Linked DNA regions of Rattus norvegicus. The protein of the gene in region 1 interacts with the protein of each later gene in a pairwise test. Links are inferred from orthologs where the notes say so. Each region holds a gene or a part of one and is shown in the gene's direction. Other genes may lie near its edges.

Evidence for each region.
Region 2: the proteins of Atxn1 (region 1) and Fdps interact in binary tests that used the Homo sapiens proteins (3 or more experiments, as listed by UniProt). The link is inferred for Rattus norvegicus from reciprocal best matches to the Homo sapiens genes ATXN1 and FDPS.
Region 3: the proteins of Atxn1 (region 1) and Mettl27 interact in binary tests that used the Homo sapiens proteins (3 or more experiments, as listed by UniProt). The link is inferred for Rattus norvegicus from reciprocal best matches to the Homo sapiens genes ATXN1 and METTL27.
Region 4: the proteins of Atxn1 (region 1) and Zhx1 interact in binary tests that used the Homo sapiens proteins (3 or more experiments, as listed by UniProt). The link is inferred for Rattus norvegicus from reciprocal best matches to the Homo sapiens genes ATXN1 and ZHX1.
Region 5: the proteins of Atxn1 (region 1) and Dnaja3 interact in binary tests that used the Homo sapiens proteins (3 or more experiments, as listed by UniProt). The link is inferred for Rattus norvegicus from reciprocal best matches to the Homo sapiens genes ATXN1 and DNAJA3.
Region 6: the proteins of Atxn1 (region 1) and Cpsf7 interact in binary tests that used the Homo sapiens proteins (3 or more experiments, as listed by UniProt). The link is inferred for Rattus norvegicus from reciprocal best matches to the Homo sapiens genes ATXN1 and CPSF7.
Region 7: the proteins of Atxn1 (region 1) and Ywhae interact in binary tests that used the Homo sapiens proteins (3 or more experiments, as listed by UniProt). The link is inferred for Rattus norvegicus from reciprocal best matches to the Homo sapiens genes ATXN1 and YWHAE.

The regions. Positions count from the first base shown.
Region 1 is NC_086035.1:19,331,568-19,335,361, forward strand, and holds part of Atxn1 (ataxin-1), read left to right. Parts: intron 1-1,735; 5' UTR 1,736-1,898; coding exon 1,899-3,737; intron 3,738-3,794. UniProt on the Homo sapiens protein: Chromatin-binding factor that repress Notch signaling in the absence of Notch intracellular domain by acting as a CBF1 corepressor. Binds to the HEY promoter and might assist, along with NCOR2, RBPJ-mediated repression. Binds RNA in vitro.
Region 2 is NC_086020.1:176,798,220-176,802,013, reverse strand, and holds part of Fdps (farnesyl pyrophosphate synthase), read left to right. Parts: intron 1-613; coding exon 614-754; intron 755-1,984; exon of another isoform or gene 1,985-2,091; intron 2,092-3,794. UniProt on the Homo sapiens protein: Key enzyme in isoprenoid biosynthesis which catalyzes the formation of farnesyl diphosphate (FPP), a precursor for several classes of essential metabolites including sterols, dolichols, carotenoids, and ubiquinones.
Region 3 is NC_086030.1:27,400,200-27,404,694, reverse strand, and holds the start of Mettl27 (methyltransferase-like protein 27), read left to right. Parts: upstream 1-1,492; 5' UTR 1,493-1,538; intron 1,539-1,852; 5' UTR 1,853-1,853; coding exon 1,854-1,976; intron 1,977-2,469; coding exon 2,470-2,598; intron 2,599-3,132; coding exon 3,133-3,268; intron 3,269-4,495.
Region 4 is NC_086025.1:91,476,252-91,480,045, reverse strand, and holds part of Zhx1 (zinc fingers and homeoboxes protein 1), read left to right. Parts: intron 1-27; 5' UTR 28-254; coding exon 255-2,876; 3' UTR 2,877-2,879; intron 2,880-3,794. UniProt on the Homo sapiens protein: Acts as a transcriptional repressor. Increases DNMT3B-mediated repressive transcriptional activity when DNMT3B is tethered to DNA. May link molecule between DNMT3B and other co-repressor proteins.
Region 5 is NC_086028.1:11,380,020-11,383,813, reverse strand, and holds part of Dnaja3 (dnaJ homolog subfamily A member 3, mitochondrial), read left to right. Parts: intron 1-324; coding exon 325-458; intron 459-2,044; coding exon 2,045-2,128; intron 2,129-3,794. UniProt on the Homo sapiens protein: Modulates apoptotic signal transduction or effector structures within the mitochondrial matrix. Affect cytochrome C release from the mitochondria and caspase 3 activation, but not caspase 8 activation.
Region 6 is NC_086019.1:216,591,362-216,595,739, forward strand, and holds the start of Cpsf7 (cleavage and polyadenylation specificity factor subunit 7), read left to right. Parts: upstream 1-1,428; 5' UTR 1,429-1,490; exon of another isoform or gene 1,491-1,516; intron 1,517-1,626; exon of another isoform or gene 1,627-1,764; intron 1,765-2,097; exon of another isoform or gene 2,098-2,122; 5' UTR 2,123-2,177; coding exon 2,178-2,231; intron 2,232-4,378. Other genes in the region: Sdhaf2 (succinate dehydrogenase assembly factor 2, mitochondrial precursor), read right to left, coding at 1,222-1,257.
Region 7 is NC_086028.1:61,081,484-61,085,771, forward strand, and holds the start of Ywhae (14-3-3 protein epsilon), read left to right. Parts: upstream 1-1,450; 5' UTR 1,451-1,566; coding exon 1,567-1,630; intron 1,631-4,288. UniProt on the Homo sapiens protein: Adapter protein implicated in the regulation of a large spectrum of both general and specialized signaling pathways. Binds to a large number of partners, usually by recognition of a phosphoserine or phosphothreonine motif.

The DNA.
Region 1 (3,794 bases):
TACAGACACTCATGACCATATCCTACTTTGGGAGTCTGTTTACAAGTCACATCTTAGGGAAAAGAATCTGAGGAGGAAATGTATTCAGGTTCCAAGCCCAGAAATGCAGCTCCTCAAATCAGAGTCTTGGATATTGCTTCCCTCTGCAGCTTCTCCCCATGGGCAACACTCCCGTCTCCTGCTGCTAGCATGCTACACACTGCTCACCTTGGCAGCCTGCCCCATGCCAGGTAGACATTGTTCACACAGGGGTGGTGACTCAGAATTCCGTGACTCCGTGAGACCAAGACGGGGATCGCTCCATAAGAGTTCCTGGCATCACTACGTGGCTGGGCTTGGACACGTGGTTGCGGTTTGTCTGGCAAATATCTCCTCTCCTGCTCATAATGAACAGGCCCCTGCCAGAGAGAAGGGGAGGAGATGGTGGGGAGAGACTATTCAGAGACGAACAAGGAAGAGAAGGCTCATGGGTAAAGCAAGCACCTAACTTTTATTAAGGAAACTTTCAAAGCCTTGGCTCTACTTCCCTCACTCATGCATGTGCTTGTTTATGCACCGTTTTTATAGACAGCGTTTCATATCGTAGCACAAGGAAGCCTCAAGTTGGTGGTCATTCTCCTGCCCCAGCCTTCAGAGTGCTAGGCTCACATGAGCCAACATGTCAGGGCTCATCTTACGTACTGTGTTTGGTTTATTAAAAAAAAAAAAAAAACAGAGTAGTTTTTGTAACTGTCTCAAAGATGTCTCAGTGTTTCCTTATAAATGACTGTACTTGGAACTCCCTGGAGACTTTATAGTGAGAAGAATTGTTTTCCAATACGGCTGCTGAGTTGGGGTACATGGGTACATTGTGGGAGGCACCGTTAGAATAGGGGGCACTACCGTAGATGAAGTGTAGCCCTGTAGCCAGGTGAAATCTTAAGAGTATTGGTTCTGTCGTTGAAGCTGAAGAAAAAACCCAAAGACTCACTGGGCATCTCCATTCCAAACGTGCTCCTTCACAAAGCCCAGCTCTTGGGGCCTCCCTGGACGAAGATAAAGTCGTGATGGGGAATTAGGTAGCAACCTTTCTGTAAAAACGATTTACAGAAATGCATCATCTACCCAAAGATAGCCTGAGCAACAGGAGATGGTGTAAGAAAAGAAAAAGTGATCACCCACCCTCTAGGAAAAGAAGAAAGGCTGGAGGAGGACGGAAGGGGCGGAGAAATGTTTGGCTGGGCTGCCTACTCTATAGTTTATTAAGAAAGCACATCTGGGCAGGAGAGATGGCTGGTGGTCAAGACAGCTGCTTACGGCTCCTGTAGGGGACCCAAGTCAGGGTCCCAGCACCTGCACTGTGAGTCACAACTGCCTGCAACTCCAGTATCAGGAGACACAGCGCCCTCTTGTGATCTCTATAGGCACTGGCACATATACATGGTGTGCATAAACTCTCCTAGGCACGCACACAAACAAATAAATCAAATAAGCAAATGTTTAAGAAAAGGACACCCTTAAACTTCGTCACTCTCTTGATTCTTACTGGCTCTTTAGACTTGGGCCATAATCTGCTTTTGCAATTCCAACTAAGAGGGTCTCCTCTTAATCTTGTTGGTAATAGTGTTTTTGTTGGTGGGTGGGTTGATTGGTTGGTGAGGTTTCTCCCCCAGAGCTGATGTTTTGATTTTTTTTCCCCCTCTCTTCTCTCTCTCCTGTCCCTATCCCCCGACTCCTGCTCTCTTCTCCTTCTCAGAATCCGGAGCTGCTACTGCCAGCCTAGAGAACCCACGGGGAGATGATTCCTCATGAAGGGCCTGGATCCCCTACAGAAATCCAATGTGACTCTCTGTTTATCAGACTAAAACCAGAGCCAGCCAGACAGTGAAACAGCCACCGTGGAGGGGGGACGGCGAAAAATGAAATCTAACCAAGAGCGGAGCAATGAATGCCTGCCTCCCAAGAAACGTGAGATCCCCGCCACCAGTCGGCCCTCCGAGGAGAAGGCCACTGCTCTGCCCAGCGACAACCACTGCGTGGAGGGTGTGGCATGGCTCCCCAGCACCCCTGGCAGCCGCGGCCACGGGGGTGGGCGGCACGGGCCAGCAGGGACTTCCGGGGAACATGGTTTACAAGGAATGGGTTTACATAAAGCACTGTCCGCAGGGCTGGATTACTCCCCACCCAGTGCCCCCAGGTCGGTCCCCACAGCCAACACGCTGCCCACCGTGTACCCTCCTCCTCAGTCAGGGACGCCGGTGTCTCCTGTGCAGTACGCCCACCTATCACATACCTTCCAGTTCATTGGGTCCTCCCAGTATAGTGGGCCTTACGCGGGCTTTATCCCTTCCCAGCTGATCTCCCCACCAGGCAACCCAGTCACCAGTGCGGTGGCCTCGGCTGCAGGGGCCACCACTCCATCACAGCGCTCCCAGCTGGAGGCATATTCCACCCTGCTGGCCAACATGGGCAGTCTGAGCCAGGCACCAGGACACAAGGTTGAGCCCCCTCCGCAGCAGCACCTCGGCAGGGCTGCGGGATTAGTCAACCCGGGGTCCCCTCCACCTACCCAGCAGAACCAGTACATTCACATTTCCAGCTCTCCACAGAGCTCCGGGCGGGCAACATCTCCACCCATCCCGGTCCACCTCCATCCCCATCAGACGATGATCCCGCACACGCTCACCCTGGGGCCTTCATCCCAGGTGGTCGTGCAATACAGTGACGCCGGAGGCCACTTTGTTCCTCGAGAGTCCACCAAAAAAGCAGAAAGCAGCAGGTTGCAGCAGGCTATGCAGGCCAAGGAGGTCCTCAATGGGGAGATGGAGAAAAGCCGGAGGTATGGGGCGTCATCTTCTGTGGAGCTGAGCCTGGGGAAGACGAGCAGCAAGTCAGTGCCTCACCCCTATGAGTCCAGGCATGTGGTGGTCCACCCGAGCCCAGCAGACTACAGCAGTCGTGATACCTCCGGGGTCCGTGGATCTGTGATGGTCCTGCCCAACAGCAGCACACCCTCAGCCGACCTGGAGACACAGCAGGCCACACATCGAGAGGCCTCCCCATCCACCCTCAATGACAAGAGCGGTTTGCACCTAGGGAAGCCCGGCCACAGGTCCTACGCGCTGTCCCCACACACGGTCATTCAGACCACACACAGCGCATCAGAGCCTCTCCCGGTGGGCCTACCAGCCACGGCCTTCTATGCTGGCGCTCAACCTCCTGTCATCGGCTATCTGAGTAGCCAGCAGCAAGCAATCACCTATGCTGGTGGTCTGCCCCAGCACCTGGTGATCCCAGGTACCCAGCCCCTGCTCATCCCAGTGGGCAGCCCTGACATGGACACACCTGGGGCAGCCTCGGCCATAGTGACGTCATCGCCCCAGTTTGCTGCAGTACCTCACACGTTTGTCACCACCGCCCTGCCCAAGAGCGAGAACTTCAACCCAGAGGCTCTGGTCACCCAGGCAGCCTACCCAGCCATGGTGCAGGCCCAGATCCACCTGCCGGTGGTACAGTCCGTGGCATCCCCTGCCGCGGCATCACCCACGCTGCCGCCATATTTCATGAAAGGCTCCATCATCCAGCTGGCCAACGGGGAGCTGAAGAAGGTAGAGGATCTGAAGACAGAGGATTTCATCCAGAGTGCAGAGATTAGCAATGACCTCAAGATCGACTCCAGTACTGTGGAGAGGATCGAGGACAGCCACAGCCCCGGTGTGGCCGTGATACAATTTGCTGTTGGTGAACACCGAGCCCAGGTAACCCTCACCAGGGTCATACAGGTAGGGGGCCCCTACCCCCATTCTATCATCTCC
Region 2 (3,794 bases), on another chromosome or scaffold:
TTTTTTTTATAAATGTCTCATCTTTGAGGAAAACACCAAGGAGAATTTTCTTTGTCTATACTGTGCAGGTATTAAAGAGCTATCTCTTTAGTTAGTTAGGGCTGCTGTCTGGCAGAAGGCACAGTTGAGAAGGCTCCAGGAGGAGGACATTAGAAGGGTTAGACGTAGCCCTGACTCTTGCTGTCCCTTCAATGCCTTCTTTTGGCTAACTTTGGAGAAGCCTTGTCTTTTGTTTTGTTTCTTTGTTTTCTGTAGCCAAGGCTGTCCAGAACTCATTCTGTATCTGAGGCTGGCCTCATACTCATCAGTCTGCCTGCCTCCCTGCTGAGTATTGAGCTTATAGGAGTTAGCCATCACTCTACGCTAGGGCCCTTGTCTTCACTACAAGCTTGTTTGCAGGTGGTCCAAGTTCTCGGCTTGAGGGAAGAACTGGGGGTATGTTATGTAGCAGGTACTTGGGTTCCATATGCTATAGGACTTTGGAGAAGAAATGAAGAGGGGACTGACCCAGGGACTCCCCAAGGGGAGTTGGGGTTCAAAGAGGGAGAAGGAAAGGGGAAACCTCTTCAGGTCCCTTCTGTGTGGACCCTGATGTCCTCTCACCCTGCCTCAGGTCCTGGAGTACAACACTGTAGGAGGCAAGTACAATCGGGGTCTGACGGTGGTACAGACCTTCCAGGAACTGGTGGAACCAAGGAAACAGGATGCTGAGAGCCTACAGCGGGCCCTGACGGTGGGCTGGTGTGTAGAACTGGTAAGAGCGGTCGGAGAAGCAGAGTTCCCACAGTTGGGGCTTCCTTGGTGAGGAGCAGAAGCTTGTTTCTTGCTTGTGTTGATGTGTGAGTCTCTTGTGTGCTACAGTCATTCGGGCAGTGTGGATCCCTTCAGGGGCTGACAGATGGGCACAGAGAGTTTTCAGAAATGCTCACCTTAAATATCACCATGTGGTGGTGTCCCATGCCTTTGATCTTATCTCAGGGAGCAGAGGCAAGTGGATCTCTATGAGTTCTAGGCTAGCCTGATCTATAGAGTAAGTTCTAGGATGGCCAGGGCTACTCAAGAAACCCTAGTTTCAAATAACAGAAACCTTAAATTCTTAAACTTAACAAAGAAGACATGCCATTAAAAAAGAAAGTAGACTTTTAAAGTCTGGTTAGATGGCTTGGCCGGTGAGAGCATTTGCCATCAGAAGAGCCGAATGTGTGAGCCAGGGCCGTAGAAACCCAGTTGTGTCTCTGGACACAGAATCTGCATGGTAGGTAGAGCCAGCAGGCTGGCCAGGCTGCCTGGCTCAGTGAGAGAGACCCTGTTTCAAAGGAACATTGATGTGATAGACAGGACACCTGGCATCTTCCTTTGGCTTCTCCGCCCCTGTTTTCATGCCCACACTGAATGCACCCAAGTGTGTGCTTGGTGGTACACATCTGTAATACATACACTCACCTAGTGCTGGGGCATGGAGATAGGCGGGTCCCCAGAGTTCGCTGGCAAGCTAGGTTAGCCAATCAGTCAGTTCCGGGCTCAGAAAGGTTTGTCTCCCAAAACTGAGGACACCTGATACTCACCTCTTGCTGCTACAGATGCGCCCAGTTCAGATGCCCATCCATATATACAACTTGTGACACAGACACAAGCACACAAGGCCTGCTGGGCAGGCAGGCAGGCAGACACACTTGTGTTCAGTTTCTCACTATCTATATGACAACTGTGTGCATCTGTTGCACCCTTCCCGGAGTTGGGATAGATGTGCAGATCCTGGAGCTTGTTGGCCAGTCTGACCATTTCAGTGACCACCCTGTCTCAAAGAATAAGGTGGAGAGGCTGGAGAGATGGGCCAGTGTTTAAGAGCTCTGGCTGCTTTTCCAGAGGACCGGGGTTCAGTGGTTAGGGATCTGACACCCTCTTCTGGCCTTCATGGGCACCAGGCATGCACATGGTTAGCAGACAGACTTGCAGACCAGCACCAGTGCATTTAAAATAAGTAGTCCTCTGTTTGGCAGCACATATACTGAAATTGGAACAATACAGAGAAGATTAGCTTGGCCCCTTTGTAAGGATGACACAAATTCATGAGGCAGTCACTCTCTTTTTTTCCTTTCTGTCTTTTCATTTCTATCAAATGTGTGAAAAAATACATAAAGATTGGTTATAACCAAAAATATGTTATATAAAATTTTAAAAATGAGGAAGACATCTCACAGAATTCCCCCAAAATGAGGACATCCAAGGTCGACCTCTGACCTCCACATGATTGCATTTGTAACTCATGTACACAGAGCACATGCATACATGAAACATGTGTGCACAATATAATATGTGCACACAATTCTACAAATCTATAATAACATGTATGCATACACTACACACATGCACACATGTACACACATAAACAGTTCAGATCACTGGCATGTTCACTTAATGAAATGATTTTCCAGAGTGAATTAAAAGCTGCTTCCCTAATGTAGGGTACGTGCTCCACCTATGGCTCTGATTTTCAGTCCTGGCTCTTGAATGTCTGACTTTGTTGTTTCCTGGGTGGGTGAGAGGTTTCCAATTTGGTATTGAAGTCCAGGGCCTTGTCTATTGTAAGCACGCTCTTATCCCTTAACTATGTCCCTGCCCTTTGGTTTCGGTTTTTGATTTTTCACTGGCTGTCCTGGAACTTACTCTGTAGATCAGGCTGGCCTCAAACTCAGCTCCACCTGCCCTATCTCCCAAGTGCTGGGATTAGAGGTGAGCGCCACCAGTGCCTGGCTGTTTTTGTTTATGAGACAAGGTCTCACTGTGTACAGCTCACACATACTCAAGATCATCTCGCTTCAGCCTTCCAAGTGCTGGGATCATAGATGTGTGCCATCACGCCTGACTCATACTGACTTACTAAATTATTGGTCTATTAAATAGACCAGTTTGCGGTGTTTGGATGATGTAACGATAGACTTCTGTTGAGAATCATAGGGGTGGAAGGATGAGTCAAAGTTCTGGAGCCCTGAGTTTGATCCTTAGAACCCATGTAAGAAGTGAACTGACTCCCAGAAGTCACCCTCTGACATCACTGCATGCTGTGACGTGTGAGCATCCACACCGAGACACACCTTCCTCACCCCTGACTAGTGAGGGGCTGGCAGTGTGGTTCTAGTGGGTAAAGGCACTCTGTCGAAAGCCCAGCAAAGTGAGTTCTGTCCCAGGATTCATGGGAAGATGGAAAGAGAAAAACAACTCCTAGAAATTGTCCTCTGACCTTTATTTGTGTGCTGTGGCATGTATGTGCCCTTGCACACAATAATAATAGAAGTTTGTTAAAACAGAAAAAAAATAGATAATTTTGTTGTGGGGGTCAAAAGCCTTCCATCCCATATGTAAGGCCCTGGGTTCCATCCTCAGCACTTTAACACAGTAAAGCCAAGGCATGCAGTTAAAGCAATTGCCACGTAACAAACGGGTAGCCTTGCCGGAAGGTGCGTGGGCCAGTGTTCAGGAGATGGGCTGAGGACCTTGAGATCGAAGCCAGCCTGGCCTTCATACCGAGGTTCTGTCTCAAGGAATCAAAACCCAAAAGTGTCCTGGATGTTGTTGAGTGTTCAGTCTTCCATCTCCCTAATAGAGAGCGCGTGGGAGGCACCACTCTGTGGTCAGGGCTAGGCTCTGGGAATACCTGAGGAGCCAGCATTGCTGAACTGGAAGAGCATTTACCAGCAGGCAGAGTGGCTCAGTGGTAGCATGAGGTCCCGGGTTCAGCACTCGCAGTGCACAGAACCAAACATGACAGTAGACAGCTGTGACCTCGGCACCTG
Region 3 (4,495 bases), on another chromosome or scaffold:
CTCTAAAAATAAAAGTAGTTTTAAATTAATTAAGTAAAATAAATACTTCTGAGGACTGGGGATATACCTCAGTTGAGAGAATGTTTGTCTAGCATACACTAAATCTTGAGTTCAATGCCCAGAACGGCATGAATCAGGCAGGAGGATGAGAGGTTAAGGGACATCCTTGGCTATATAGAAAGTTCAAAGCTAACTTGAGATGTGAGCTATGTGAAACTGTTGGGAATCAAACAAATGAGGCTTATCCAAAGTACTGCCATTTTGTTTGCAGACTCCGTTTTGATCATAAGGTGAAATGAAGTTCAAGTTCCCAGGCTCTAGGGTAGCCGAGGACTTCCTGGATGGCTAGCCAACTTCCTCCTTATTCTCTTGTCCCCCAAAACATGGTTGTTCCTAATCATGAAAGAACAAGTGATTCTGACTGATGGAAAACTGTGACCGAAACTTGGGACAGATCTCTGTGGTTTTCGAGCTTAAAACCTCTGTACCGGGGTTGGGGATTTAGCTCAGCGGTAGAGCTCTTGCCTAGCAAACGCAAGGCCCTGGGTTCGGTCCCCAGCTCCGAAAAAAAGAAAAAAAAAAAAAAAAACCCCTCTGTACCATTCTGGCTCTGAAGGGAAGTTCAGCTTCTAAGTCTGTTCTTCGGCCCTGATCGATCAGCAACGGTCTGAGTACAATAAAATTTTGCCAGCTGCTTAAATACCAAGATGAACGTTGGAAGACACAGTCAGCTCCCAAGTCGGTGCCATTGTCCCTGTCTGGTCAGTTTCCGTGCCTAATTCAAATAAAGATCTTGCTTTGCGGGGTTGGGGATTTAGCTCAGTGGTAGAGCGCTTGCCTGGCAAACACAAGGCCCTGCGTTCGGTCCCCAGCTCCGAAAAAAAGAAAAAGAAAAAAAAAAATCTTACTTTGCGTGGACTCTTGTGTCTGCTTGGGTTTGTTTTGGATTTTTCAGACCCTAACAAACCATACAAATATTAAAAATTGGGCCCAGTGAGGTGGCTCAGCACATAAAAACACTTGCCGACAAGTTTGAGAATCTGAGTTTCATGCCTGGAAATCACATGGTAGAGGAGAGATCAGACTCCAAAAAGTGGTTCTCCGCCGCTACACATGATCCCCAAATAAATAATTTGGGTTTTCTTTTTATATATTGTAGCTGGGAGCAGTACCACAGGATTTAAATGGCGTATAGAAGGAGTCTTCCTGGTCTATAGAAGGAGTTTCGAGTCATTCAAGGCTTCCTAGCAAGACCTTGTCAAGAAGAAAAAGGGAAAGAAAAAAAAAAGAAACATTTTTATTCGTTTGTGAAAAAACAAGAGCAAATCCGCCAAGTAGAATTTAAGATCTTCTCGGGCAATAAGACTATAGCATTACGTTCATTGGCTCGTAGTAGGGGGCGGACTGTCATTTTCTTTTCTGATTGGCTGCTTTCTCTCACGGAAAACCAATCGCCGCTGTGCTAGAGGCGGGGCCAGGCTCTCAGAGACTTCCCCTCCACTTCCCGCACCTCTGCCTGGAGAAGCAGGCTCCGTAGGGTGAGTTCTGACCTTTCATTTCCTTGGAGACCCTTGCAGTGAGGAAGAACCCGGCCCCCTTCAAGCCCCGATCCACCTCTGGGAATGATGGGCTGAGGCTTAGTCCTCCCTCCCTGCTGCGGAGAACCCCCTCTCTACGAACCCCTCGCCCTATAAACAGTGCCAAGGTGTAGACGTCAGCTCCTGCCATCTCCCACTCAAGGTCTCATTTGAGACTTGGGAAGGCGTTGGAGCACTGATAACCTCCTCCGCCCGGTGAGGGAGGGCAGAAGACTGTAGCGGATACCATGACTGGGTGGACCCTATCCCCACAGGATGGCTCAGGAGGAGGCCGGGAGGCTGCCCCAAGTACTGGCCCGGGTGGGGACCTCCCACGGTATCACCGACCTGGCCTGCAAGCTCCGCTTCTATGACGACTGGGCTCCGGAGTATGACCAGGTGAAAGCACGTGGGTCCTCGATTTTGGGGACTCAAATTGTGCAAAGCGAGAATAGTACCCATGCATCTCAGGGACGCTGGGAGCTTAAAAAAGGGACCTGGGAAACGTGCTCCTTAGCTACCTGCTCCCTACTGACGTGTAAGCAGCCCCTTCTAACTCTGGGTTGGACCTCCCCTACTTCAGCCAAGAATGAGCCACCTAATTAGTCCTGCAATCCAGACAGGGAGATTGCCTGCAGGAGGCGCTATTGAGACATCATTCGGTATACACAGACCAGCTAAGAGCTGCCACAGCCAGTAGCCAGTTCCTGTCAGCTTGAGCTCTACTAGTGTGGGGTCTCTTGACAGTATTCTCCTCAAAACTGAGTCTTCTGTTTCTGGGGTACCAGAAGGATCCAAACCCTAACACACACCAGCTCAAACTGGCAGCTCCTAGGGACCCCACAAAGTGAATTGTCCAAACCCTATGTTGGGCTAAGTGCTATCTCCTCAGGATGTGGCTGCTTTGAAGTATCGAGCCCCACGCCTTGCTGTGGATTGTCTCAGTCAAGCCCTTCAGGGCCCACCCCATGATGCCCTGATCCTGGATGTGGCCTGTGGCACTGGCCTGGTAGCTGTGGAGGTAAGATCTGATACAATGCCCTGCCTTCCCTTCAGCACCCAGGACCTCCAACACGCTACTGCTCAGTCAGCCCTCAGGCCCTACATAGTGAATTCTAAGCAGGTGCTCTACCACTGAGCCACACCCCCAGCCCCTCACTGGGGGATTCTAGGCAGGGGCTCTCCCACTGAGCCACGCCCCCAGCCCCTCCCTGGGGGATTCTAGGCAGGGGCTCTACCACTGAGCCACACCCCCAGCCCCTCACTGGGGGATTCTAGGCAGGGGCTCTCCCACTGAGCCACGCCCACAGCCCTTTAGATGGCTTTTTAGAGATGAGATCCCAAGGCTGGCCTTGAACTCACTCTATAAACCAGGCAGGCTTTGACCTTGGGATTCTTCTGCCTCAGCCTCCAGAGTAGCTAAGAAGGCAGGCTTAAGCCATCACACCTAGACCCCGTCTGCCCAAATTCCCTACCACTTCTTGACCAAAAACTCATCCTCTACCTCCGGTTCATTGATCAGATGAGCCATGACTGATGCCCCCTTCTCTCCCAGCTACAGGCTCGGGGCTTCCTTCAGGTGCAGGGGGTGGACGGAAGCCCAGAAATGCTGAAGCAGGCCCGAGCCCGTGGCCTGTACCACCACCTTAGCCTCTGTACCCTGGGCCAGGAGCCGCTGCCCTACCCTAAAGGTACTTCCTGCTCCACTCCCTCCTCACCCACCTTCCCAAGGATAGCACCCCCTACTGTCCAGCCACCATCTCCACTCTGGAGTCCTGTGTGAGCCCTCTTGCTGTGCCCTCTCTTCCAGCCTAGGCTCTCACCTCACCTCATCTCATGCACAAGGTTGGGGTCCTACTACACCCCAGTGTATAGGGCATCTTCGTTGATTTATTTTCTGAGAGAGGGTTTTTCTGTGTAGCTGTGGCTGTCCTAGAACTCGTTCTTAGATCAGGCTGGCCTCAAACTCAGAGATCCACCTGCCTGTGCCTCCCAAGTGCTCCCAGATTAAAGGCGTATGCCGCCACCACCCAGCTACAATGTCTTCTATTACTCTTATTGCTGTGGCAAAACACCAGACAAAACATAATCACGGGGCCCCACCCATCCCTAGGAAGCTACCGGCTGTTGCTGGGGCAGAGAGAGTCCTTTTCTTCAGTGGTGTAGCCACAGGCAAGTTGCATGTGCCCCAGAACCCCCATGCACCAAGCTCATGCAGGCCACCGCCAGTTAAACTCAGTGGGTCACAAACAAAGTAAGACCTGAAAGTAGCAAGAGGTGCCGGGAGATGGTGGTACTTGAGAGGCAGAGGCGGGTGGATCTCTATGAGTTCGAGCCCAACCTGGACTATAGAGCTAGTTCTAGGATAGCCAGGGCTACACAGAAAAACACAGTCTTGGAAAAACAAAAAGATAGGAAGAAAGAAGGAAAGGAAGAAAGAAAGAAAGAAAGAAAGAAAGAAAGAAAGAAAGAAAGAAAGAAAGAAAGAAATTAATTTATCAGAAGCTAGAGGAGGCTACGGGTGGACGGGAAGTGAAAAGGACCACACCACATTATATTCGTGCATCTTCTTAAGGGGGTTGGAAAAATGGCTCCCTGGGGAAAAGCACATGCTACTCTTGCAGAGGACCTGAGGTTGGATCTCAGCACACATATCAGGTGATTCACAGCTCCCTGTAACTCCAATCCCAGGATAGGATGCCTCTGGCCTCTGTGAGTACCTGCACCCACAGAGAGACACGCGTGCTACACTGGCTGGGGAGATGGCCCAAGAATTAACATCTCCTACTGCTCTTAGAGCGAACCCAAGCTCTGATCCCAGCACCCATATCAGGCAACTTCAAGGGATCCAGCGCCCTCTTCTGGAGTCCAAGGGCATTACAAGCATGCTCACATCCATACATATATACACATACACA
Region 4 (3,794 bases), on another chromosome or scaffold:
ACACATTTTAAATTTATTCCAATGTAGGTGATTGGAGTTGTGCTTCATACATTTCAGCAGTTCAGCAGTGTTTTATCTGCCAACTAAGCTTTTTACTTGAGTGCACCATGGAGACGCTACTAATGAGACTTGTTGAGCACAAAAGTGGACTTGAAGAGCCAGAAGCCACTGTTTTCCAATGAAGGATTCCAAACAGTTTTAAGCCTCAGTGCTTTTAAATCACCAGAGATTCCCTCCCTGCCCCTAAAATCAAAATGGCAAGCAGACGAAAATCAACAACACCTTGCATGGTCCTTGCCAGTGAGCAGGATCCAGATCTTGAGTTGATATCGGATTTGGAAGAAGGCCCTCCCGTCCTTACACCCGTAGAAAATGCTAGAGCAGAGAGTGTCTCCAGCGATGAAGAAGTTCACGAATCTGTGGATTCTGACAATCAGCAAAATAAGAAAGTGGAAGGGGGCTATGAATGTAAATACTGTACTTTTCAAACTCCAGATCTAAATATGTTTACTTTCCATGTAGATTCAGAACATCCCAATGTTGTGCTGAATTCATCCTATGTTTGTGTTGAATGCAATTTTCTTACCAAAAGGTATGATGCACTTTCTGAGCATAATCTGAAATACCACCCAGGAGAAGAAAATTTCAAACTGACTATGGTGAAGCGGAATAACCAGACAATCTTTGAACAGACAATAAATGATCTGACTTTTGATGGCAGTTTTGTTAAAGAGGAGAATACAGAACAAGGAGAATCCATAGATGTTTCTTCTTCGGGAATCTCCATTAGTAAAACTCCCATTATGAAAATGATGAAAAATAAGGTAGAAAACAAACGGATTACAGTTCACCATAACTCAGCTGAGGGCACTTCTGAAGAGAAAGAGAATGGAGTAAAAGCAAGCCGGGAAGAAAATGCAGAAAATACGAGTTCTTCAGCTTCAGAATCTAACACAAGTACTTCCACTGTCAACCGAGTGCATCCCAGTCCTGCAGGCACAGTGGTGACCCCCACAGCTGTTCTTCCTGGGCTAGCACAGGTGATAACTGCAGTCTCCGCTCAACAGAACTCAAACTTGGTCCCTAAGGTCTTAATCCCTGTTAATAGCATTCCAACCTACAATGCTGCATTGGATAACAATCCTCTTCTACTTAACACCTACAACAAATTCCCTTATCCTACAATGTCAGAAATTACAGTTCTTTCTGCTCAAGCAAAATATACAGAGGAACAGATCAAGATCTGGTTTTCAGCCCAACGTTTAAAGCATGGGGTTAGTTGGACTCCTGAAGAAGTAGAGGAGGCAAGAAGAAAACAATTCAATGGAACAGTGCATACTGTACCTCAGACCATAACTGTTATTCCTACACACATTTCCACAGGAAGTAATGGGTTACCATCTATTTTACAAACATGCCAAATAGTTGGTCAGCCAGGTCTGGTCCTTACTCAAGTAGCTGGAGCAAACACCTTGCCAGTAACGGCTCCCATTGCTCTGACAGTGGCAGGGGTTCCAAATCAAACAAATGTACAAAAGAGTCAAGTGCCTGCTGCTCAGCCTGCTGCAGAAACAAAGCCAGCCACAGCAGCAGTTCCATCATCGCCAAGTGTCAGGCCTGAAGCTGCACTAGTGAACCCAGATTCATTTGGTATTCGGGCCAAAAAGACTAAGGAACAGCTGGCAGAACTGAAAGTTAGCTACCTTAAAAACCAGTTTCCCCACGACTCAGAGATCATCAGGCTTATGAAAATAACAGGCCTTACCAAAGGCGAGATTAAAAAATGGTTTAGTGATACAAGGTACAACCAGAGAAATTCAAAGAGTAACCAGTGCTTACATCTCAATAACGACTCCTCTGCCACTATCATCATAGACTCCAGTGATGAAACCCCAGAACCCCCAGCTGCAGCTGCGTCACAGCCGAAACAGTCCTGGAATCCCTTTCCTGACTTTGCTCCCCAGAAGTTTAAAGAGAAAACTGCAGAGCAACTTCGTGTCCTTCAGGCAAGTTTTCTCAACAGTTCTGTACTTACAGATGAAGAATTAAATAGGTTAAGAGCGCAAACCAAACTTACTAGAAGAGAAATTGATGCTTGGTTTACAGAGAAAAATAAAACAAAAGCTTTAAAGGATGAGAAAGTAGAAGTAGATGAAAGTAATGTAGGTAGTTCCAAAGAAGAACCTGGAGAAAATTCTCCTGGAGACGAAGCCGTTGCACCTAAGTCAGCAGGGACAGGCAAGATATGTAAGAAGACACCAGAGCAACTGCACATGCTTAAAAGTGCATTTGTCCGAACACAGTGGCCGTCACCAGAAGAGTATGACAAGCTGGCTGAAGAAAGTGGGCTTGCCAGAACAGACATAGTTAGTTGGTTTGGAGATACCCGTTATGCTTGGAAGAATGGGAACTTGAAATGGTACTACTACTATCAAAGCTCCAATTCAAGTAGTTTGAATGGTCTGTCCTCCCTTAGGAAAAGAGGGAGAGGCAGACCCAAAGGACGAGGCAGAGGCAGACCACGTGGGCGGCCCAGAGGAGGAAAAAGAATGAACACCTGGGACAGGGTACCGTCGCTCATAAAGTTTAAAACTGGAACAGCAATACTTAAAGATTATTACCTGAAGCACAAATTTCTTAATGAGCAAGACCTTGATGAACTTGTCAACAGATCACACATGGGTTACGAGCAGGTCAGAGAGTGGTTTGCAGAAAGACAAAGAAGATCTGAGTTAGGTATAGAATTATTTGAGGAAAATGAGGAGGAAGATGAGGTTATTGATGATCAGGAAGAAGATGAAGAAGAAACAGATGATAGTGACACTTGGGAACCCCCACGACATGTGAAGCGGAAGCTTTCTAAATCGGATGACTGAAATGTAAGTGTTTAGCCTTCGTATTTATCATCATATACATGTGTTAACAGCCATCTTATTAGTTTACTCATCTTCGTGTTAGTGTGGGTATGTGTGCGCATGCGTGTGTTTATGCGTGCGTGTGTAGGCCAGAGGCTGATACTGTCTTCCTCTATTGCTCTCTGCCATACTTTTTGAAACAGCATCTCTCTGAACATGGAGCTCACTGATTTAGTGATACTAGGTGTCCAGGGAACTCCAAAAGCTCCAAGGATCCACCTATCTCTACATCTTCAGTAGGAATGTAGGTGTGTACTACTGTGCCTGGCTCTTATGAGGGGTATTGGATATGAACTCAGGTTTGCATGTTTTTATGTAAGCATTTTAGTGACCTGAGCCATCTCCCTAGCCCTTATCTTCACTTTTACTAATTTTTTTAATACTTGTTTTTCTAATAAGAGGACCAGCTGCCACTAGTCATGACATGTATTATTATGATTTGTAGCTTGATGATTATATAGGGTTTACTGTTCTAATGTCCCTTTAATTATTTATTTTCCATACAAAAATTTTTCATTTGTTTCAAAGAAAAGTAAGAAGGGAAACAGAAAACAAACAGTAAAGGTAACTAAAAGGTATTTCTTGTAACCTTCTCTCTCTACTAAAGCTTCATTTTCGACTATGTAAGGAAACAATTAAAAAATAAAACAAAACTAAAACTAAGGGCAAGTATACTGAAGGGAGAGACCACAGCACAAGGACTGATGTATTCAAGGAAACTGAAATAAAAGTAGATGCTTTTTTCTCCATTGTTTTCCCCCAAAATGTCATCAGACTTTTGCTAGAGTTTAAGATGCATTGTGCACTCAATGTCATTTTCTGTTAAAAGACCAAGGCCTATTCTAGGTCCTCTCACCAGTGCTTAGGTGGCATCTGTTT
Region 5 (3,794 bases), on another chromosome or scaffold:
CGACCTTGAACTTTTGATCCTCTGTTTCCCTCTCCCCATGTTAAGACTGTGGGCATGTGCTCATCGTCACTGTTGTGCTGGGTTTATTCAGTGCAGGGAATCAAACTCAGGGCCTGGTAAGCAGTGTACCTACTGAACTATGTCCCTAAGCTTTCCCCACATTTGAAGAACATTGAGTTTGGCCTCTAGAGTACTCGAAGGGAATAGGCCCTATAGCTGGGGCTCGTTTCCTCTTTCACAGGTGTTTCATAGCTGGTCACTTACTTATAATTTCTTCTTGTTGGATAAAGTCCCAGACCAACTTACTTTCTTGTTCATTTCCAGGAACAAAAAGTTTCCCTTTTGTTTGTACTGCTTCCTTCCACACAAGTGCTTCTTTGGCCAAAGATGATTATTACCAGATACTGGGAGTACCCCGAAATGCCAGCCAGAAGGATATCAAGAAAGCCTATTATCAGGTCTGTACTGGTCTCAGATTTACTGACAAGACTGTAGAAAGATTGCTGGTCACTGTGTGTGCATGTGCATGTGTATGTGTGTATGTGATGCAGATGTTCACAGAGGGCAGGGATCCCCTTGGGATTATAGTTACAGGCAGCGTGAACCATCTGCCACGGCTGAGAATTGAGTTCAGGTCTTTTGGAAAAGGGGTATGTGCTCTTAGCTACTGAGCTATCTCTTCAACCCAAATCGTTGTTGATTCTGTGTGGTTCTTATTGCCTTGGTATACAGCCTGCTGAGGCAGGTCACAAACAGCTGATCCTGTGGAATGACCTGTGAAAGATGGAGAGTTTTGGATGCCTTTGGTATGCAGTGAATGTGATATCAGTTAATGTTGCTTTAAGAAAGAAAAGGGGTGGGTAAGATGGCCCAGTGGATAAAGTCATTTGACACCAAGCCTAGTGACCTGAGTTTAATTCCTCCAAAACCATTTTAAACAGGAGAGAACTGACTCCACAAAGTTGTCCTCTGACCTCTACATGTATACCATGCTGACCACACAGTTATGACATAAATAAATGAAAATTATATAGGAAAACATCATCATTATTATTTTTTATAGCAGTAACTGCCATGAGTGCATTACATAATCCCTCAAAACCTTGCACAGCAGGCAGGCCAGGTATGGTTGTGCATGCCTTTTTATCCCAGTCCTGGGAGACAGAGGCAAGCAAAGTTCTGTGAGTTTAAGGCCAGTTTCTCTCAAAACAAACAAACAAAAAAACCAAAAAACCCACAAAAAACAAAGCCAGGCAGTGGTGGCGCATGCCTTTAATCCCAGCACTCAAGAGGCAGAGTCAGGGGGATCTCTGAGTTTAAGGCCAGCCTGGTGAACAGAGCTCATTCCAGGACAGCCGGGGCTTCATAAACCCTGACTTGTAAATCCAAACAACCAAAGTCGTACAGGTTATTTACTTCCTCTATTACATAAGTCAGTGTGCCAGGATGGCGTTTTACTCTCTGCTTTCACACAGGCGCCTGCATGCCGAAGAGCTAGTCACACAGTTACCAGCTACTTTCTAACATTTATTTATTTTTGGTTTATGTGCATGAGCGTTTGTCTCATGCATGTGTGCTGCATGCGTTCTCCGTGCCTTCAGCGATCAGCAGAGGACGTCAGACTGGAGTTTTAGAGTTGTGAGCTACCACAGGAGCTGGCAACTCAGTCCAGGTCCTCTGCAAGGGTACTAAATGCTTTTTTTACTTTAAGTTTTTTTATTATGTAGAGTGTTCTAACTGCATGTGTATGGCTCACCAGAAGATGGCACCAGATCTTATTCTAGAAGGTTACTGAGAATTGAACTCAGGACCTCTGGGAGAGCAGCCAGTGCTTTTAACTGCTGAGTCATCGCTCCAGCCCCTTAATGAACTATTTTTGGAAGACATCCATGGAGGAATGATTTATTTTCAAATTTTAAATCTTGCTTTAAAGATACATTGCTGTCTCAAGAGAGACATGTTATAAAAAGGCATAATTGTGGCAAGTGTTTAGGTTCTGTTTTAGTAACTATATCTATAGTAATTTGCTTTCCCCCCCCCTTAGCTTGCCAAGAAATATCATCCAGACACAAATAAGGATGATCCCAAAGCCAAGGAGAAGTTTTCCCAGCTGGCAGAAGCTTATGAGGTAATGTGACGTGTGTGTGTGTGTGTGTGTGTGTGTGTGTGTGTGTGTGTGTGTGTGTGTTTTCACTGGCCAGTCAGCTCTCTGTGCATGTGTCAGAGTCTGTACTGCCCAGGACAACTTGGCATATCATATAGTCCAGTGTGGTGTGATGTCATTGCTAGTTCTGCTAACTTAGAATCTAAATGAAGAAAAAGGCTGACAAGATGAGTCAGTGGGTATGTCTATCTTCTGCCACATGGTAGACAGAGAGAAGCAGCTTCTACAGATTGTCCTCTGACCCCTACCTGAGTTCCACAGCATTTGAACACTCATATATATATGAGTGTATACGTGTATATATGTGTGTATATATACACACACATAAAATAAATAGGTGTAATTTTTTAAAAAGAAAAAAAGAGACACTAAGTAGTGACATATATGTAATTTAGCACTGCGGAGTCTGGGGGCAGAAGAATTTCTGTAAGTTTAAGGCCAGCCAGGGCTATACAATCTGCCTTACTACCAAAAAAAAAAAAAAAAGAACAAGATTCATCTAATCAATAAAGGTCTTCAGGTAATTCATATTGATAGCTGGTCTTGGGAAACCCCAGTTATAGTGATCAAATCGGCCCTTATTTGATGGCTTAAGTTAGCAATTGTAAAAGTGGACCATAAGCTCACAGGAAAAAGGAAATGTCTGTGAAAGAACCATTGCCCATTCACAGAATTATTGGAGAATGACCCTTTGTCTTAGCTAGGCTTTTTTTATTGTTGTTGCAGTTTTTTATTCATTTATTTTATGTTTAGAAGTACATCGTCACGCTCTTTAGACATACCAGACACCAGAAGAGGACATCAGGTCCCATTACAAATGGTTGTGAGCCACCATATGGTTGCTGGGAATTGAACTCTGGACCGCTGGAAGGGCAGTCAATGCTCTTAGCCAGTGAGCACTGCAGCCCCTTAGTTAGGGTTTTATTGCTGTGAAGAGAGACCATGGCCACAGTGAGTCTTTTTTTTTAATATATGAGTCTTTTATTGTCCCCAAAGAGCCCGATCCTACTTGTGATCAGGATCTTGTTTCTGAAGCTGGGAAACTGAGGTCTCACTCGCCAGCCTGCTGCACAGTTCCCTTCTCAGACACACGGATGCCATTCTAAAACTTCCTGATACTGTTTTTAACTGTTGTAGCTTGCTGAATCAGAGCCCCTGAATTTGAAACAAGTTCAATATCATTTCCTTCAAGCATTAGTTCATCCTTTTGGGCTTCAGAGACAGAACCTGTCCTCATCCGAAACCTGCTGATGTATTTCTCACCCAAAAAATTTCGGATTTCAACCACAGACCCATTCTCCCGAATAGTGACGTTGATGGGGAAGGGAGCATCCACAGACCTCATTTGATAGGGAAGGGAGTATCCACAGACCCGCTCTTCTGAATAACGATGTTGATGGGGAAGGGAGCATCCATAGACCTCATCTGATAGGGAAGGGAGCATCCACAGACCTGCTCTCCTGAATAACGATGTTGATGGGGAAGGGAGCATCCACAGACCTCACCTTGTATCAGATGCCCAGCATCACACCCTTGATCATGTTCTGAACATGACTGCAGATGGTTCTGACAGTGGCCCGTTCCTCTCTGTAATCCCATTTGTTGACCCAGAGCTGCTTCTTTTTCTTCC
Region 6 (4,378 bases), on another chromosome or scaffold:
TTAAAGGCTTCAGAAAGCCTCTGAAACTATACAAGGCCAGCCCCCACTCTTCCTATCCCCCTCCCCCACTCTAGGGCACCTAGCACCCTCTTTAGCTTCAGTGGTACCTGTACACACACACTTAAAACCACCTGTAACTCCAATTCCAGAAAACCCAACACCCTCATCTGGCCTTCATGGCCACCTACACACACGGGCATAACTCACAAAGGCACATAAACATAAATACATATTTTTTAAACTTAAAAAAAATGAATAAAGAAAGAAAATGAAATTGCCTAGCATGCAAGGCTCTGGGTTTGGCATTTAGCACCAACAACAAAATTGTCATATGAGATAAAGAATATTATATATATTAAAGAGTTAGCAAGAAAGAATGAAAATCATAAATACATGTGGACCTAATAGAGCACTCAAATATATGAAAGAGACCCTGACAGAACTGAAGGGGGTGAAAACAAAGATTTTAATGCCACAATTTAATAAGGAATAGAACATCCAGATGGGGGAATCAATATTAGACAACCAGAACAATACTAATTTAAGTATATCTAGCTGAGGTATACAGACATTCCACACAAGAGAGCATACATTCCTCTCAAATGTACGGATGAATATGCCCAGGAGCTCACATGTCGATAAGTTTAAGATAAACCATATCAACTAGCTTTCAACACTACTGGAATAAAACCTGAAAATTCTCAAACATACAGACATTTAAGATCAGGATGAGACAGAATGGCGAGCTTCAGGCCAGCCTGAGTAACAAATTAAAACCGGCTTTTAAAAAAGGGAGACGGGGGTTGGGGATTTAGCTCAGTGGTAGAGCGCTTACCTAGGAAGCGCAAGACCCTGGGTTCGGTCCCCAGCTCCGAAAAAAAGAACCAAAAAAAAAAAAAAAAAAAAAAAAAAAAAAGGAGGCTTTCGGGGGAGGTTCGGTAACTCTTCCTGGAGACATAAGTGAGATATGCCTTGAGTCTCGTATGGTAACTGGCCACTTAACTACATAGTATCCAGTATTCTCACTCGAACACACCGTGGGCTAAGTAACCAATGGAAAATGACCTGCATGCTCAGCGGCAGTATGCGCCTCGCCTTGAGGGGACCTTTCCCTGGTTCTGTGGGATGGGTGAATTCTCCCTACAGTCTTCACGGCACAGAGGAGGACGAAACAGTCCTAGCTGCCGCCCGCCCCGAACCCTAAATCTTCGGCTCTCTCACCCGCGCCAGCGTCGGGATCAAGGTGACCACCGCCATTTCTCCCTATAGTACAGGAAGCTAGCAACCGACCCTCTTCCGGGAACTCCGGGCGGCCGATCTAAGGACTTCACCCGTGGAGGTGGACCCCAAGCCGGAAGGCGCGTCCCAGCGTATGGCGGAAGTAGTGGTGCGTGTGACGCCGCCGGTAGGGGGGGCGGGACCTGGGGCGGAGAGCGGTTCGCGCGCTTCGGGCCTAGTCGGGACTCTCCGCGGCCGCCGCCATATTCCCGGTAACGGGGGCGCGCGGCCGGGGGCCGGCGGGGCCGGAAGGAGGGCCGGGGCTGGCGCCGCGGAGGGGAGGGGGTCGGTTGGGGTGGCGGCGGCGGAAGACGGCGGGTGGAGGGAAGCGCGGGCCTCTGAGGGAGGGGCTGAGATCCTGGAGCTGTGGGAGGGAGCAGGGCAGGCCTAGCCGAGAGCGAGGACCGGGCCGGGTTGGAGTGGAGGCGGCGGGAGCTTCCGGGCCCGCAGGGGGCTCCGGCTTGGGACGCCCCCTGGGTCTAGCAGGTGCGACGGGCTGAGCTTGCGGCGTTGGTCGCAGTGGTTCTTCACAGCGCGGCCCGAGGGCCCTCTCAAGAGTCGAGGCCTGCCTGGACTTGGCAGTGGCGCCATAGGCAGCTACGGGCGCCGACTCGGCGCATCTCCGGTCGGGCCCGCGGGTGATGGGCAGCGAGCCCCGCGAGCCCGAGCGGCCTGGGAGAGCAGGGGGCGGCGCGAGGCTGGGGGCGGGGCGGAGCGGGTGGGGCCAGGCTCGGGGCTGCCGGGATGCTGCCTCTCGGGAGACTAGAGGTTGTTGACCCTTGCCCTCCTCCCAGCCTGGGACCCTTGTGTCTTAAAATTTTTTACCCTTTTCTGAATACCGTAGTGGCATCTTTCTTACTTTGTCCGTTCTCCGGGCTCGAGAGCGTGTTTCCGGAGCCATGTCAGAAGGAGTGGATTTGATTGATATATACGCTGATGAAGAGTTCAATCAGGTGAGAGGAATTAGCAGCAGTTTTGGGTTTTCTTCGGTCAAATCTACTGACAGTGGTTTCTCTCTCACCACAAAATAATTCCTTTTAGTATCGAAGCGTTTCCCCCTAGCGGAGACTTTGAAGACGACTGACCATTCCTCTTTATGTTAATTTGAACCTCCAGGCTTCAATTTTAAAGGGTTTGCTTTAAGAGCAAATAAAAACCCAAGTGTAATAGAATGGTGAATCAGCCTGTGGAATTGTTTCCCCAAGTCATTCCAAAGTTGGATGAGTAACCATAATTAAAAATGAAAATTACATTTGTTGCAGTATTGCGGGGATAATTTTGATACTTGTTACTTTGCAGTTCTTTCAGCTTGCGGCTCCAGCATGTTAGTCCCTCCCCCTTCTTGTCCCCTCCCAATGGTATAGACAGTACGAGAGATAACTTTGAAAGACGGTATATCAACTGCGTTAAAGATGGGAGTTCTAGCTCCACTCCAGGTGTTTTCAATCTTTTTAAATCGCTTGACTGAGAATTCTGTGGGCATTTTGGTATGGATGGGAAGGAAGGTAAAAACCATTGGATAAAACTAGTTTAAAGGCAAGTCAAAGATTTGGTCATCCTAGTTTGAATTTGTGTTTTTACATTTTAAATGTCACCTTAAAAAGTAATCTATGAGGTTGAGTTCTTTGATCTTGAGGTCAAAGCTCAACGAAAAGTTTCTATTTAAAACTTTTATCTTTTTTAAATTTTAGTTATATTTTTTGTTGGATTTTTTAAATTTACATTTCAAATGTTATCCCCTTTCCCAGTTTCCTGTCCATAAACCACCTATCCCATCCCCCTTCTCCCTTCTTCTGTGAGGGTGTTCCCTCACCCACCCACCCCTTCCCGCCTCCCTGACATTCCCCTACACTGGGAATGTGGACTCTTTGGGTAGTGATTTAGTCCCTGGGAATTCTGATTGGTTGTTAATGTTCTTATGGGGTGCAAGCTCCTTCAATCCTTCCTCTAATTCCTCCATATCTCAGTTCAGTGGTTGGCTATGAGGATCCTCCTCTGTATTTGTCATGTTCTGGCAGAGCTTCTCAGGAGACAGCTATATCAGGCTCCTGTCAGCATGCACTTCTTGGCATCAGCAATATTGTCTGGGTTGGTGGCTGTATGTATATGGACTGGATCCCCAGGTGGGGCAGGCTCTGAATGGCCATTCCTTCAGTCTCTGCTCCAAACTTTGTCTCCATATCCACTCCTATGAATATTTTTGTTCCCCCTTCTAAGGACTGAAACATCCACACTTTGGTGGTACTTCTTCTTGAGCTCCATGTGGTCTGTGGATTGTATCTTGGGTATTCTGAGCTTTTGGGCTAATATCCACTTATTAGTGCATACCATTAAAACTTTTTTCTTACCTGGGTTCTTTTTAGTACTGTTATTCTTAAGCTAGCTGGTTCTGGTGTATTCCAAAGGGTACACATAAGGACCTGGAAAGAATGGTCTAGACTGCCTAGATTATAGCCTGACTTTGGTAGGCAACAAAAGAAGCTCATATGTCCCATTATTTTATTTTAAATTTTGTGGATGTGAGTGGTTTGCAGGTACCCAAGGAGCCTAGTAGTATGGGGTTCCCTGGAGCTGGTGTTACAAGTAGTTGTGAACTACCTGATGTGGATTCTAGTAACCAGACTCAAGTCCTCTGGACCAACAGAAAGTGTTCTTAACTATTGAGCCCTCTCTCTAGTCTGGCTTTTCTGGGTTTTATGTGTTTGTGTGAGTCAGTCTTTTATCATTTGAAATTTATGGCTTCTTCTTTAACAAGACTCTCTTAGTTCTGTATTACTGAAAGATACCCCCAATTCTAAATATATGTTGTTGACTGGTACTGCAACTAATTCACTTTGGAGAATAGACAGTCGTTGACACATTGGCCATATTTGATATAAAGAAAAAGTAATAAATGGTTTATAAATTAGGGGTCATAGACAAGACGTTCTTGTCCAGTGGTCACTGCTTTGTCAAGATACACATTATTACCCTCAGTAATTTGTTCATTAATTAACTTTTTTATAAAAGGATTTTCTAATCTAAAGCCAAAATTAATGTGTAGACATTTATACCAAGCAGGCAATGTTAATATGGGAAAAAAATGAAGCAAATACAGATT
Region 7 (4,288 bases), on another chromosome or scaffold:
ATTTTTAGTCCAGGCTGGCCTGGAACTTGTGGCAATCCCTCTGTTTCTGGTTCCACAGTGCTGGAATTATAGGCGTGAATCACTACTTCAGCAAATATGTAATACTTTTCTTAAGTATAATTATGATGATGTCATCTTCCACTCAGAATCATCAAAACACGGCTTACCCGGCTAGGACTATAACTCAGTGGTAAAGCTCATGCTCGAGGCTCTGGGGTCAGTCTCCGCACTTGAACAAGACAATTCCTGTCGGTTCATAGGCTAAGATGCAAGCCTCTCAGCTTGTGACCTCAGGCCTACGGTAATTTGGTCCCAACCTTTCTATTTCACACTTTGAGGCCCTTTTCTTGCATGGCTCAGCAGCAAGCAGATATTGAGTATAAGATGTTGAAAATCCATTGGGAAGCAGAATAGGCATGGCCATTGCAAATGAAGCAATTCCCATTGAGAATTCTTTATTTCTTTTTTTTTTTTTTTTTTTTTTCTTTTTTTTTTCGGAGCTGGGGACCGAACCCAGGGCCTTGCGCTTCCTAGGTAAGCGCTCTACCACTGAGCTAAATCCCCAGCCCCGGCGAGAATTCTTTATTTCTAACTCATCCACATCAATTTGCCCTTACTCAGGTGCACCTTGCACTCCGAATGAGGCAAGCCACTTTCTTGTCTTTTTTCCCTCTAGTGAGGGTTTCCCTTAATTAGTTTAGATTGATCACTTTTTCTTTCTCTTTCCTTTCTGTGTGGTTTGTTTATTTTTGAGATGGGGGTTTTTTACAATGTAGCCCAGGCTGACCTGGAATTTGCTTTGTAGATGAGGCTGGATCCAAACTCGATCCTCCTGCCTCTACCTCCTTAGTGTTGGGATTAAACGCACGCACCAACGCACATGAGTCAAAAACAGAGGCTTTTTAACAAAAGTCCTATCTATGATAGGCCAAAGAGATAAAAATACAGCTGGAGGGGGAGAAGAAAGTGCTTACAGTGTGTGAGCAAGAGAGATGGTGATGCGTGAAAACTCGAGCTCTCCCTTCTTCATTTCTCAATTCTTTACCTAGGGGTTCAAAGGACCTGAAAAGGGCACACGGATGAGAAAAATGTGCTAGAGTGCACAGGGCAGGTTGATCTCAATGAGGAAGGCCTGCCGTAGCAAGAATTCATAAAGCCTCTTGCTCTGTCGCCCACAGGCCAGCCCGCGGTTGCCTAGCACAGGCTTCTGGTTTACTCCCCTCCCGCAGTCTAAGCCGACCTGCCTCCAGCCGCTCCAGGGGCCGCTCTCTGTCGCAGTCGCAGTTCCCGCCTCGCCGCAGAGTCGCCCGCTGAGCTGACGGAGGAGGGGCGTCCGTCGTGCAGGTTCCAGCCTTTTCTGGCGCCGAACTCCCGGACCCGCCCCCCCGCGCCAGTTGCCAGGGAGCGGTTGCCATAGAGCTGAGCAGTTGTCCGCGTGCGCAGGCGGAAGTCCCGGATTGAGGCGCCGCCATTTTTACTGCTCGGACGCGGAGCGAGAAGCTGAGAGAGTCGGAGACGCTATCCGCTTCCATCCGTCGTGCAGACCCTGCCGGAGCCGCTGCCGCTATGGATGATCGGGAGGATCTGGTGTACCAGGCGAAGCTGGCAGAGCAGGCCGAGCGATACGACGGTGAGTTGTGGGGGTGTCGGGGGGCTGGAAGTCTCGGACCCTCCGCCGCCGCCCACAGAGGCCGGGAACCGGAGACAAAATGGCGGCATCGTCTCCGAGCCTGGCTTGGGACGTGGGTCGGGAAGCAGGAAATGGCCTGCGGGCTCCCGAAGCGGTGGGAGTCTCCGGGCCTAGGAATTTGACCCCTCCGGTGTCCTTAGGTTGCAGACGCTCGCCAGCCAGCAGGCCGGGGTGTAGGGTGGAGGAGTTGGTTGTAAAATGGCGGCTGGAGGGGGAGGGCGAGTCCCCGGGCGGGGGAGGGGGAGGAGATGGCGAGTGCCGTCTCCCGCCGTGCAATCCCCACGGGAGGTTTCGGGATTGCGGCGGGGTGTGGAGGACAATTGGGTGGGGTGGTGTGAGAAATAGCACGGGTCACTCGGGAGAGGGCGGAATCTAGGAGCTGTAGCTCCGGCGCCTTTCAGGGAAATATGGCGGGTGGGGGCGGTGGCTTTTCCCCGGAGGCCCAGTGTGGGGCGGCGGCTGTGGAGCCTCACAAAGGAGAAGCCTCCGGAGCGGACGGCTTCTTTGGGCCGGTGGTGGAGAGTAGTCTTTGGTGAGGGTGGAGTGTTTGGAAATCACTGCAGACTATCCTTGGGTGGAGGCAAGCTGAGATGCTGCGATTGGATTTCTTCCCTTTGGCCGACACACCTTGGATTTGAGGGTTTGGGGAGGTTTTCGGCCTCACCTTCTTCCGGGGAGGTGCACAACCTCACTCATGCTCCGTTTGTTCTTACCCCGGATATCCCAAAGTTCCTGCGTTTGGCCCCCCAACCCCCAACCTTCACAAGCATGGAGTTCTGATGGATAAGAATACAGGAGGCCAAGGCTTGCCTTGACTCCTTAGTACTGATTGCCCTTTGCAGTGCCAGTGCCTCAGTTTACCCGTTTGTAAAATTGAAGACTTTACTATTCACACTTAGCATTATGAAACATAGACCTGTTGAGAAATAGTTAATTCAAATAACGTTTAGTAACACGTTTGGTTGACAACCTAAGTTTGGAATGCATGTTCTTGCTTGGCTTGGGGATCCTTACCTATTTTGAGCACTCAGTTGGGGCTTGGGGATTTTGAATTAGGAATGTAGAAGATTGTAGTTTTTTTTTCTTTTTCTTTCTGTTTTATGATTTCATTGTTCCATGAGTGAGGCTCGATCCCAGGGTTGCATGCAGGCAAGACAAGTGCTCAAATATTGTGCTACACCACAGCTCTGTTTTATCTATTTTAAGTGAATGGTTTTATGTACAAATTTCAGTAGTTACTCTTTGTTCATTTGACACCCCCCTCACCTCCCGGTGATGGAACGTAGGCCCTAGTATGTGCTAGATGAGTGCTCTCCTCTCAACTTAGCTACATCCTTAGCGCCTGCTAATTTGAATTCAGTCATTTTTGAGAATTTCATTGACATCTACTGTGCTTGTGTAGCCTAGGTACAAAATTCTAATTTTGTAACTAGATAACTGGAGTTAGGCAATAGGCCGTTAAGCTAGTCTTTAAAAATGAAAAGTCACACACATGGTTCCTGTGATTTAATTAATTGCTGTGTAGCTCTGGCTGTTCTGAAACATGCTATGTAGACCAGACTGGTCTTGAACTCCCAGAGATCCATCTCTCCTGACACCCTCCCCCTCCCAGGCTCCCCCCCTCCCCCCCGAGATTAAAGGAATGAACACTAAGACTGGGTCCTGTGAGTTTAATGTTTAGGGAGTGGTAGGGTCGAATGAGACAAGTTTTGGAATTAAGTGTTCCTCATGTTTTTTCCAAGTTAAACCATTTGCTTCTCAAATGCTAGGTCAGGCCCTTTTTCCTTGAATGCCAGTTTCTCCTGTGGTGACTTTTGAACTAGTCATACGTCTTTGCCAAAGTCACCACTGTTCCAGCATTTGGAAAGTAGAACAGCAGGCTTCAAAACCTCCAATTTAGGAAAGATGATGAACTAAATTTTGTCTTGCAGATTTTTTTTTTTTTTTTGGTTCTTTTTTTTCGGAGCTGGGGACCGAACCCAGGGCCTTGCGCTTCCTAGGCAAGCGCTCTACCACTGAGCTAAATCCCCAACCCCTGTCTTGCAGATTTAAGTTTGTACTGAACTAGGCTCCGGTTGGGAGCTGGAGGAGGTGGGACGGGGAATACTACTGCAGCTCCAGGTGAGCCTTATCTGTAGTGTGTTTTGAACCAGGAGAGTTGGCTGTAGTGGAGGTTTCACCTCTCACCTTCCAGAAGAGCCCCCCCCCCCCTTGTGTTCTTGGGAGGAAATGTGAAATTACATTCTGGTAATTTAGGCTTTATGTAAATATGATACCCCCAACCCCCCAAAAAAAGGAGGTATGGGGAAGCTTTTTGATTCGTTTCTAAGTCATTTTAAAAAGGGATTTGCAAATAAGATTGTATTTCCAAATAAATGACAAGTTAAACCATACTTGGGGTTTGAATGATGAAGATTTTTGACCAAAGCCTGGCCTTGTTGGCTATTGAGTGTCGTGTTGTAGAAAAGCCATGTGGTGACTGGCCCCTTTCAGACACTAGATGAGGGAAGGAAATAGGAAGCACTCCTGTGATTTGGTGTAAGAAAAGGGAATCAGTAGAAAGGGAGAAGGCATTCATAGGAAGTGATCACTCCTGCA